2 linked regions of the Mytilus edulis genome follow. The protein of the gene in region 2 interacts with the protein of the main gene of each other region in a pairwise test. Links are inferred from orthologs where the notes say so. Each region holds a gene or a part of one and is shown on either strand. Other genes may lie near its edges.

Region 1 (3,600 bases), on a different chromosome or scaffold from region 2:
AAGTAGAATTCTATATTTGCATGAGCTTGCGAATGCAATATATGTTCTACGAGGGACAATATTCCCCAATATACACCTTATCGCTATTTGTCCGCCATTACTGGATATCACACAGGTTCCCGTAAAATTTTGACGTCATAAAACAAAATGTCTGACGCCACAATGGAAAAGTGATTGTTATTGACGTCAAAAGTTCAAGCGGCTGGGTCAGCCGGGATTAGCGATAAGGTGTATTCATGCAATAACCCTTTTATTGTATAGCAATATAATATTAGAAAGTTAAAATTGGTTTAAACTAAGATTTTGTCGTTGATGACATCATTAATTTCAAAGATTTATTACTCTAGTGCAATATTGGAATTTATTGCACGCTAACTTTTGGATACTTTCTGTGGGAAATATTATATTGCTATGCAATAATGTGATATATTGTGTATTGACATTTTCCTCTATGTGAATGGAGGTGTGCCTTGATTGGCAGAACTACGTTAACAGAATCAGAAACAGAATATGGTCGAAAGAACTTGATGAGAATAGACCAAGGGCGACCAGAAACCTATGTCTAAGCCATGATCCCACATAATTTTACTCACATTTATAATGAGAAAATCATTGGAAATGCCTAGTAATTTTTTTAAACATGCAAATTAAAAACCAACTTTCAAATCTCATCATGTGTAACAGCTGTCTCACATAAGAAATATCAACTCTAAAACCTAATTTTCAACGAGTGTCACTATTCAGGTCAAATAGTCTGTTGGTGCCCCATGGGCATGGATACAAAATAATGATAAAATCACTCATGATCACCTGCATTCACCGTTGCTAAATTTTTTGGTAACAACTTTGCCTTGTTCTATTCCAAGACGATCGCAAATTTTCTGTGCAAGATCAACATGAGAACTTCCACTAAAAACCTTAATGTTAGGCATTCTTCCGAAGTCTGTCAAGCTTTTTGATTCAGAAATTTGTTTACGAATACCCAACATTAAACACGTTTGGCCTCAGGATGCATGTGAGTATTTTCATTTCTACGCTTGGTTGTAACGGATGTTACTGTAAAGCGTGAACATGATTAAGACAACTTGACCCTAAGATTGACCTTATATGACCTAATATATTTCAACGAAACGTAGAAAATAGTTAACTTCAATGAAACATTAGCGGAATTATATATAATTCTATCTTATTTTATCGCAAATATATTTAATTCAAAAATTTCCGTGATTAAAGTAAAAAGTTCAGTTTTGTATTTAATGCGCAACTTTCCATGTGCTCACTTCCGGAACAAGCACTGTTGAAAAAAACATTGAAAGTGTTACTCATCCCGTTTAAAAATTAATTCTATTGATTTATTTTGCCCTTAACTTGTGATTGATGTAACATTTTGTCTTGTAAATATGGCCAATATTGCTGCTGCTCGAATACAAAGAGAATTCAAAGAAGTGGTTAAAAGTGAAGAGGTACAGACTGCTATGTTCTTTGAGATATATTCCATCTATAAACAGCAGATTTATTTCATGATCACACCGACTCCAAAAGCCAATCTTTATCATGAAATGGTTTCAATCTAGAACCATATATTTACTGATTTCATCATGGACTTATCATTTCCTTATCAGGACAGAAGTGAATATGAGTTATGACCAAGACATTTTAACAGGACAACCTGAAGGAGACTATTCCTAGTTACCTAATTTCCTGATTGATGGGTAACATCCCCAAATTCATGGTTAATAGCTCAGATCACTCTTGTCATTGCCATTGATGCTAAAAGTTGTGAATTTTGGTCTGATGGCAAAATTTCTACATCACTATTTAGTATTATTCCCAGTTTAATAAGCATAATTATTTCATACTCAACTTTAAAAAGAAGATGTGGTATGATTGCCAATGAGACAACTCTCCACAAGAGACCAAAATGACACAGAAATTAACAACTATTAAGGTCACCATACAGCCTACAACAATGAGCAAACCCACACTGCATAGTCCGCTAGAAAAGGCCCTAAATGACTTATAACATGTAGATTGATAATAATAATAATAATAATAAATTCTTTATTTAAAGAGGGTAAACTCAGTTAGTTACAATAAACTAATCTTCCTCACCAAGGCAGAAACCAATATGGGGAAATTGAGTTGACTGCAATAAGGAATGTTCCAATAATCACCTGTACAGGCTTATTTTGTGTGTGACTTGCTTTGTAGAATCTGGGACGGTTCACCTTGATTTATGCTCACTCTGGGTCTGACTACCCCAATACCAATGAATATACACATTTTATTTTGTATTCTGTATCATGTCACTTAATTTATAGTATAGAGGTTTATTTAAAAGTTAACTTTCACACATAATTTGATATTCATTTTAAACAAAACAGCATGCATTATGAATAAGCATGATAAGTAAAAAAATAAAAGTTACGTGATTAGCATGATTAGTGCAAGCTATCAAGGTTAAACTCTGAACAGGTGTAAAAAGCTTATGCATCTATTTCCCATACAGAAACATGATAAAAGAAACTTGCATGTAAATAAATGAAAAATCCCAATGTCCTACATGTCCTAGCTATATACAAACAATTTGAAGTACAGACTTTATTCTGGCAAACTTTACAGTTAAACTAATTGTTCTGCGCCTCTGGGTGCATGGGATGTTTTGATTGACAAATAAAAAATGCTGTTGTTGTAAACAGTCTTTTATCATTTGAACTACTCCTGACAGACATGAAACAATGACAACCACTAAACTACAGTAAGCCACATATAGAATTTGGCAGGGTTAAACATGTTTGGAGGTGCCAATCCTTCTCTAACCCAGGACAGCAATGTAACTGCACAACACAGAACAAACTTAACAAATAAAACTAAAGGGAAAACAAATGAGAAAACAAAAAACAATAACTACTCAATTACAGGCTACTGACAGTCTTTTGAAACATGTTTATCAGGCATATAAAGAATGTTGCATGGTTAAAAAGGTGCCAATGCAACCCTCAATTAACCTGGAAAAGTAATGTACAATGTAACAGTGCAACATAAAAACAAATACTTAAAATCAGTTGAAAAAGATCTAGATCTTATTACAGTGTTGAATTGCATTTGGCAACCTTTTAGAATAAGATATTCAACATGTTCTAAGGATTAAATAAGTTTACCTGTTGTGTTTCTGCACTCTTACAGTGAAAGTTACTTTACCTAGACTCAAACAAATATTTTGAAACTTAAACACATTGGTTTTTACCACCAAACACTGGTCATGTTCAAATTTGAGTGGCATCACTTGCACTGTTCATGTCCCTTTATAAATGAAAAAAATGTAATTTGTTGTATATTTACAAGCCCTAGACATCTGTCCTATGGATATATTCTTCATTTATTTAAGTTTAACAAAAATAACATACAAGTGGAAAGTGATAATGAGTAGATTTTACCTTCTTACAAATATCTAACATACATGTATAACTAAATGCGTTTATCTTTTATAATCCAGGTGGAACGCTGTAAGATAAAAGTATCACTGAAAAATGATATGTATAATGAGTTAGAAGGGACGATAGCAGGACCTCCCGACACACCATATGCTGGAGGAACATT
Region 2 (4,508 bases):
GCACCCGTACGGATGATCCAGCATCCATGCGCGTGCTTGCTCCTTGAGCAAGTGATAGTATCTTAACTAATAAACTTAATTAAGTTAACGATGACGATGCATCGTCTTACCTCTCCTCACACAATTCTCGTTCATGATAATCAACCTGGTTACGTGGTAGATGGCAGTAGCAGTACTGGCATTCTGTTGGCAGTTCTGACACTGCTTTCTCCACAGCCAGGTTTCTGGAACAAAGGTTTTTGCTGATTTCACATCTGCAGTTGGGACAGGTTGCTGTCTCATCTTTGAGTCTTGAATCAGCGAGTACGTGATTGATACAGCCAGCACACATCAAATGACCATTGGTACACTAAAATAAGATAATTCTTTATGCAATTTATGGCTATAAATAGTAATAAATTAAATCATTAATGCATGAAAAATCTCTTGATTTTAAACAACTTGATAAATGGACAACTTATTAAGATAAAACTTCTCTGATTTACAACTAGAGGCTCTTAAGAGCCTGTGTCGCTCACCTTGGTCTATGTGCATATTAAACAAAGGAAACAGATGGATTCATGATAAAATTGTGTTTTGGTGATGGTGATGTGTTTGTAGATCTTACTTAACTGAACATTCTTGCTTCTTACAATTATCTCAATTAATAATGAACTTGGCCCATTAGTTACAGAGGAAAAAAATTTTGTTAAAATTTACAAAATTTACAAAATTATTAAAAATTGACTATGAAGGGCAATAACTCAGGGTCTACTGACCTTTTTGGTCATGTTGACTTATTTGTGGATCTTACTTTGCTGAACATTATTGTTGTTTGCAGTTTATCTCTATCTATAATTATATTCAAGATTTTAGCCAAAAAACGGTATAATTTCCTTAAAATTGACAATTCAGGGGCAGCAACCCAACAACCGGTTGTCAGATTCATATGAAAATTTCAGGGCAGATAGATCTTTACCTGATAAACAATTTTACCCACGTCAGATTTGCTCTAAATGCTTTGGTTTCAGAGTTATAAGCCAAAATCTACATTTTACCCCTACATGTATGTTCTATTTTTAAGCCCTTCGGGCCAGGTGAGCTAAAAATGTACATGTTATATGTTAATGGAAAACACTATAGCTGATAATGTGAAACAAACAACCAATGCAATAAACAATGAAGTGCCGACTGGTTGGTAGAAATGTACAACCTACATGTACGTGATGGTAGGAATGCCCTTTACCCTCATGTTTCAAACAGTCTTTTTTGGGTACCTTTAGTGTCAAATTGGTTTAAATTTTACAGTGATTTGTCAAAATATATATATTGTGATTCATCAGAGGTCTCAAATAATTATCATTACTGATATATTTGAATAAAACTAAATGTGATTTGTCTTAAATAGACTATTTTTTTGCTAAAACAAAGCGTACATTTTATTGTCCTGCACCAAAAATTATTGTTAAACTTAATACCGTTATTATTCATGAAGGTATCCCCATGATCACCCTCCTATTGCAATGTACCAATATTTAAGAGATTTGTTTTTGAATCAATCTCAGCCCTCGCCCCCCTTTTCTGTAAAAAATGGTTGTTTATACAGTATAGAGAATTACTGAAGTATGACTCGAGCGTGCCCCCTCTACGGCAGTCAGTTGGCAACTACTTATGAAAATTCCTGGATCGGCCACTGAATCTGATGTCTTATATCTTTTGGAAGGTATTTTTTTTCTAACCTGCATGAACACAAAAAGTTAGCAAGTCATTAAAAACATATAATTTTACTATGTTTTTAATGAGAGGGCCTGATGGGTTTTCATTCTTTGTGATTGGCACATTTACGCTATCGTGATACGTTTTTCTACAAAAAAAAATTTATAATTGGTGATCCGTGATCATTGAAATTTGTTTTCCTGTGAATTGTGATTGACAAAAAAATCAACTGGTGAATCGTGATTAGACACCACCCCACCAGACCCCTCTTTAATTATGTACCTGATAACTTTTAACACACAGATATACATGTACAAAATGTACACCTGGGAACATTTATCAAATTATGTACATGTATGTAATATTTCATGTGTATATCAGTAGTATCTTGTGTTATCTTGACTTTGCTGTCATGTTATGAGGGTGAACTTCATGCATCGATGAATTACATATGGATTTGCTCCCATGATATTTCATTCATATTATGGGAAACCATATGTGATACATATGCATATTAAATGAGGTGGCAGTTTGCCAAGTGGACAACTGATTATGTTGATCATGTGATCATGCTATCCGTCAATGTCAGAGATAATTTGGGTCAACATGAAGGTCACAGCTGGTTTTGACAGATGTGTTTGGGCAAATCCCTGAGCTGATTCTCTCATATTCTATTGCATTCGTACGCGCCACATTTATATTTCAATAAATCAGAATTTCTGTTTCATGCCATATTGTTGCTAAGGTATAAAAGTTCCGTTCCAAGTAAATTTTTCTGCATATTTGTTGGCAGACATGACCATATATGGCTATGATGCAATATCCGATCAGTGAAATACATATTTATTGAGGTGATTAATATACTCGAAACCAAAATTAGCAAATTCAGATGAAAATAGATAATTCGAATGAAACAAAAAATGCATACCTGGTAACAGGTTTTGGGCAGGTCCAAGCAAACTGCGCAACACAAGATTCCGGAAAGGCGATTTTCGAGGGCATTTTTTTCTTTTTCTTTCTCCTCTACTTTGACTTTCTTCTTCTCAGGTTCATAAAATATGTCCATGTTTTCCTTGTTGGAATTTTCATCCATTATAGCAAGGGCTGATGGTCCTGGTATGTCAGACATTTCGTTTCAGCTGTCACTGGGTCACTGGTTTGTTTACGATTGAGGTTTGTTGATGTTGACGTTTTGCTGTTTTGATCATGTGATCTGTCTAAACATGACGTCAACGATAACCAATGAAACGAACCTTGTTCATCGAGTAACTTCGTAACTTTCCGGTTATCAGTATCGGATCAAAGTACTTGAAAGCACTGTATACATGGTACATACATTCAAGGTTTCACAACATATTATGTGACAAGATATTTTGTTTAGTGCTATACATATCCTTGGCGTTTCACAACAACAAAAACAAACAAAAAAATAGAAAAAATCCAATATCAAACAAACATAAACTTGCGACCAAGAATGTGTATACTATAGACCTACTCTGGGAACAGTATATCTAACAATTCAATTCAATATTTTATTGGAAAGAGCACAATAGAGGCGTGATCCAAATACAGACAATTATAATATTAAAACAACACATAAATGAAATAAAGATTCATGTAACAAGTCATGAGCCAATTCTATGTATACAAATACATTATAAACTGATATTGATACCATAAACTTATATTTCAGTATTATTCTAGATTTTCATATATTTACTTAAAACACACAATATAAGATTTATATATATATATATATGCATATGCACAAACTAATGCAAAAGATTATTATCTGGTGAAACGGTATGGTGGTCTCTCAAATCAAGAGCTTCTTCAATATACATACAAATAGATTTTAATTCCTTTTCAGACATAGGATTTAACAGTTAATAGTATGTTCCTGACCTACCAGTCTTCAGCTATTCTACCTGTATGGTATCGCTGTTCATTTTTCTGTACAGATTCTAATTAACATTAATAGTTTTCAAGAAAAAGGGCAAACAAATGATATTTAGCCAAAAATTGCAATTCAGTAAGGACAGATAAGGTGTCATCCAATCGTTTGGGTCATATTAAAATCATATTACCATTATATTACATTTACAGTGCATAGCCAAACATATTTAAATTTTCACCTATAATGTTTTGCTGTATATTATTAAACTTTTTTCTTCTTTTAAACACAATGTGTTGTAAGACACAGAGTCATCTAAATTATAATTATAAAGCTAAGGAGATTTTGGTATTTTTGCAAATCTGCAAATGAGACAACCTATCAATCAAAGATCAGAATCTTCTTCTTCTTTCTTCTTCCAAATACCGCCAACATTCAACATGATGAATATTCTTGCAAGTTGATGTGAATGTTAGAAAAATTATAGTCAAACGTATAGCATATGCTTCTTTTATCAGTTTCGTCTTCTATTGTTTTTCAGTGTCCTCCCCTGGTATAAAAACTATTTTTTTTTAACATTCTAATCATTGGTTGAAATTTATATTAATTTCTGAACAAAAAGTAATACTTTGCTTATCATGAAGTCAGTGAAGAATAATTAAGGTCATTATTCACTGTAGTTCTTGTATTGGTGAGATTTTTTTTTTGGCTGTTTACAGTTTCTTCAATTATAGTTTTCCAGATAATAAAACAATATACGAATAATTCATAATTCACTATTAAATGGCTAACATTCCTGTAAGGATTCCTCAAACAGTTTTGGCTGTATAACCGTTTTGTTTTTTATCACGCCGGTGTTCTTGTATCGCTGATCACTTTTCCTGTTTTCAAAGTTTTTGCATGGCTAACTTGATAGAAA

Evidence for each region. The genes of interacting proteins can lie anywhere in the genome.
Region 1: the proteins of zinc finger TRAF-type-containing protein 1-B-like (region 2) and ubiquitin-conjugating enzyme E2-22 kDa-like interact in a two-hybrid assay, tested with the Drosophila melanogaster proteins (2 studies listed by BioGRID). The link is inferred for Mytilus edulis from reciprocal best matches to the Drosophila melanogaster genes CG32486 and Ubc4.

The regions. Positions count from the first base shown.
Region 1 is NC_092351.1:24,261,690-24,265,289, forward strand, and holds the start of ubiquitin-conjugating enzyme E2-22 kDa-like, read left to right. Parts: upstream 1-1,082; 5' UTR 1,083-1,400; coding exon 1,401-1,463; intron 1,464-3,496; coding exon 3,497-3,600. Other genes in the region: ribose-phosphate pyrophosphokinase 2, read right to left, coding at 811-989. UniProt on the Drosophila melanogaster protein: Catalyzes the covalent attachment of ubiquitin to other proteins.
Region 2 is NC_092348.1:55,174,871-55,179,378, reverse strand, and holds the start of zinc finger TRAF-type-containing protein 1-B-like, read right to left. Parts: upstream 2,920-4,508; 5' UTR 2,825-2,919; coding exon 2,624-2,824; intron 350-2,623; coding exon 111-349; intron 1-110.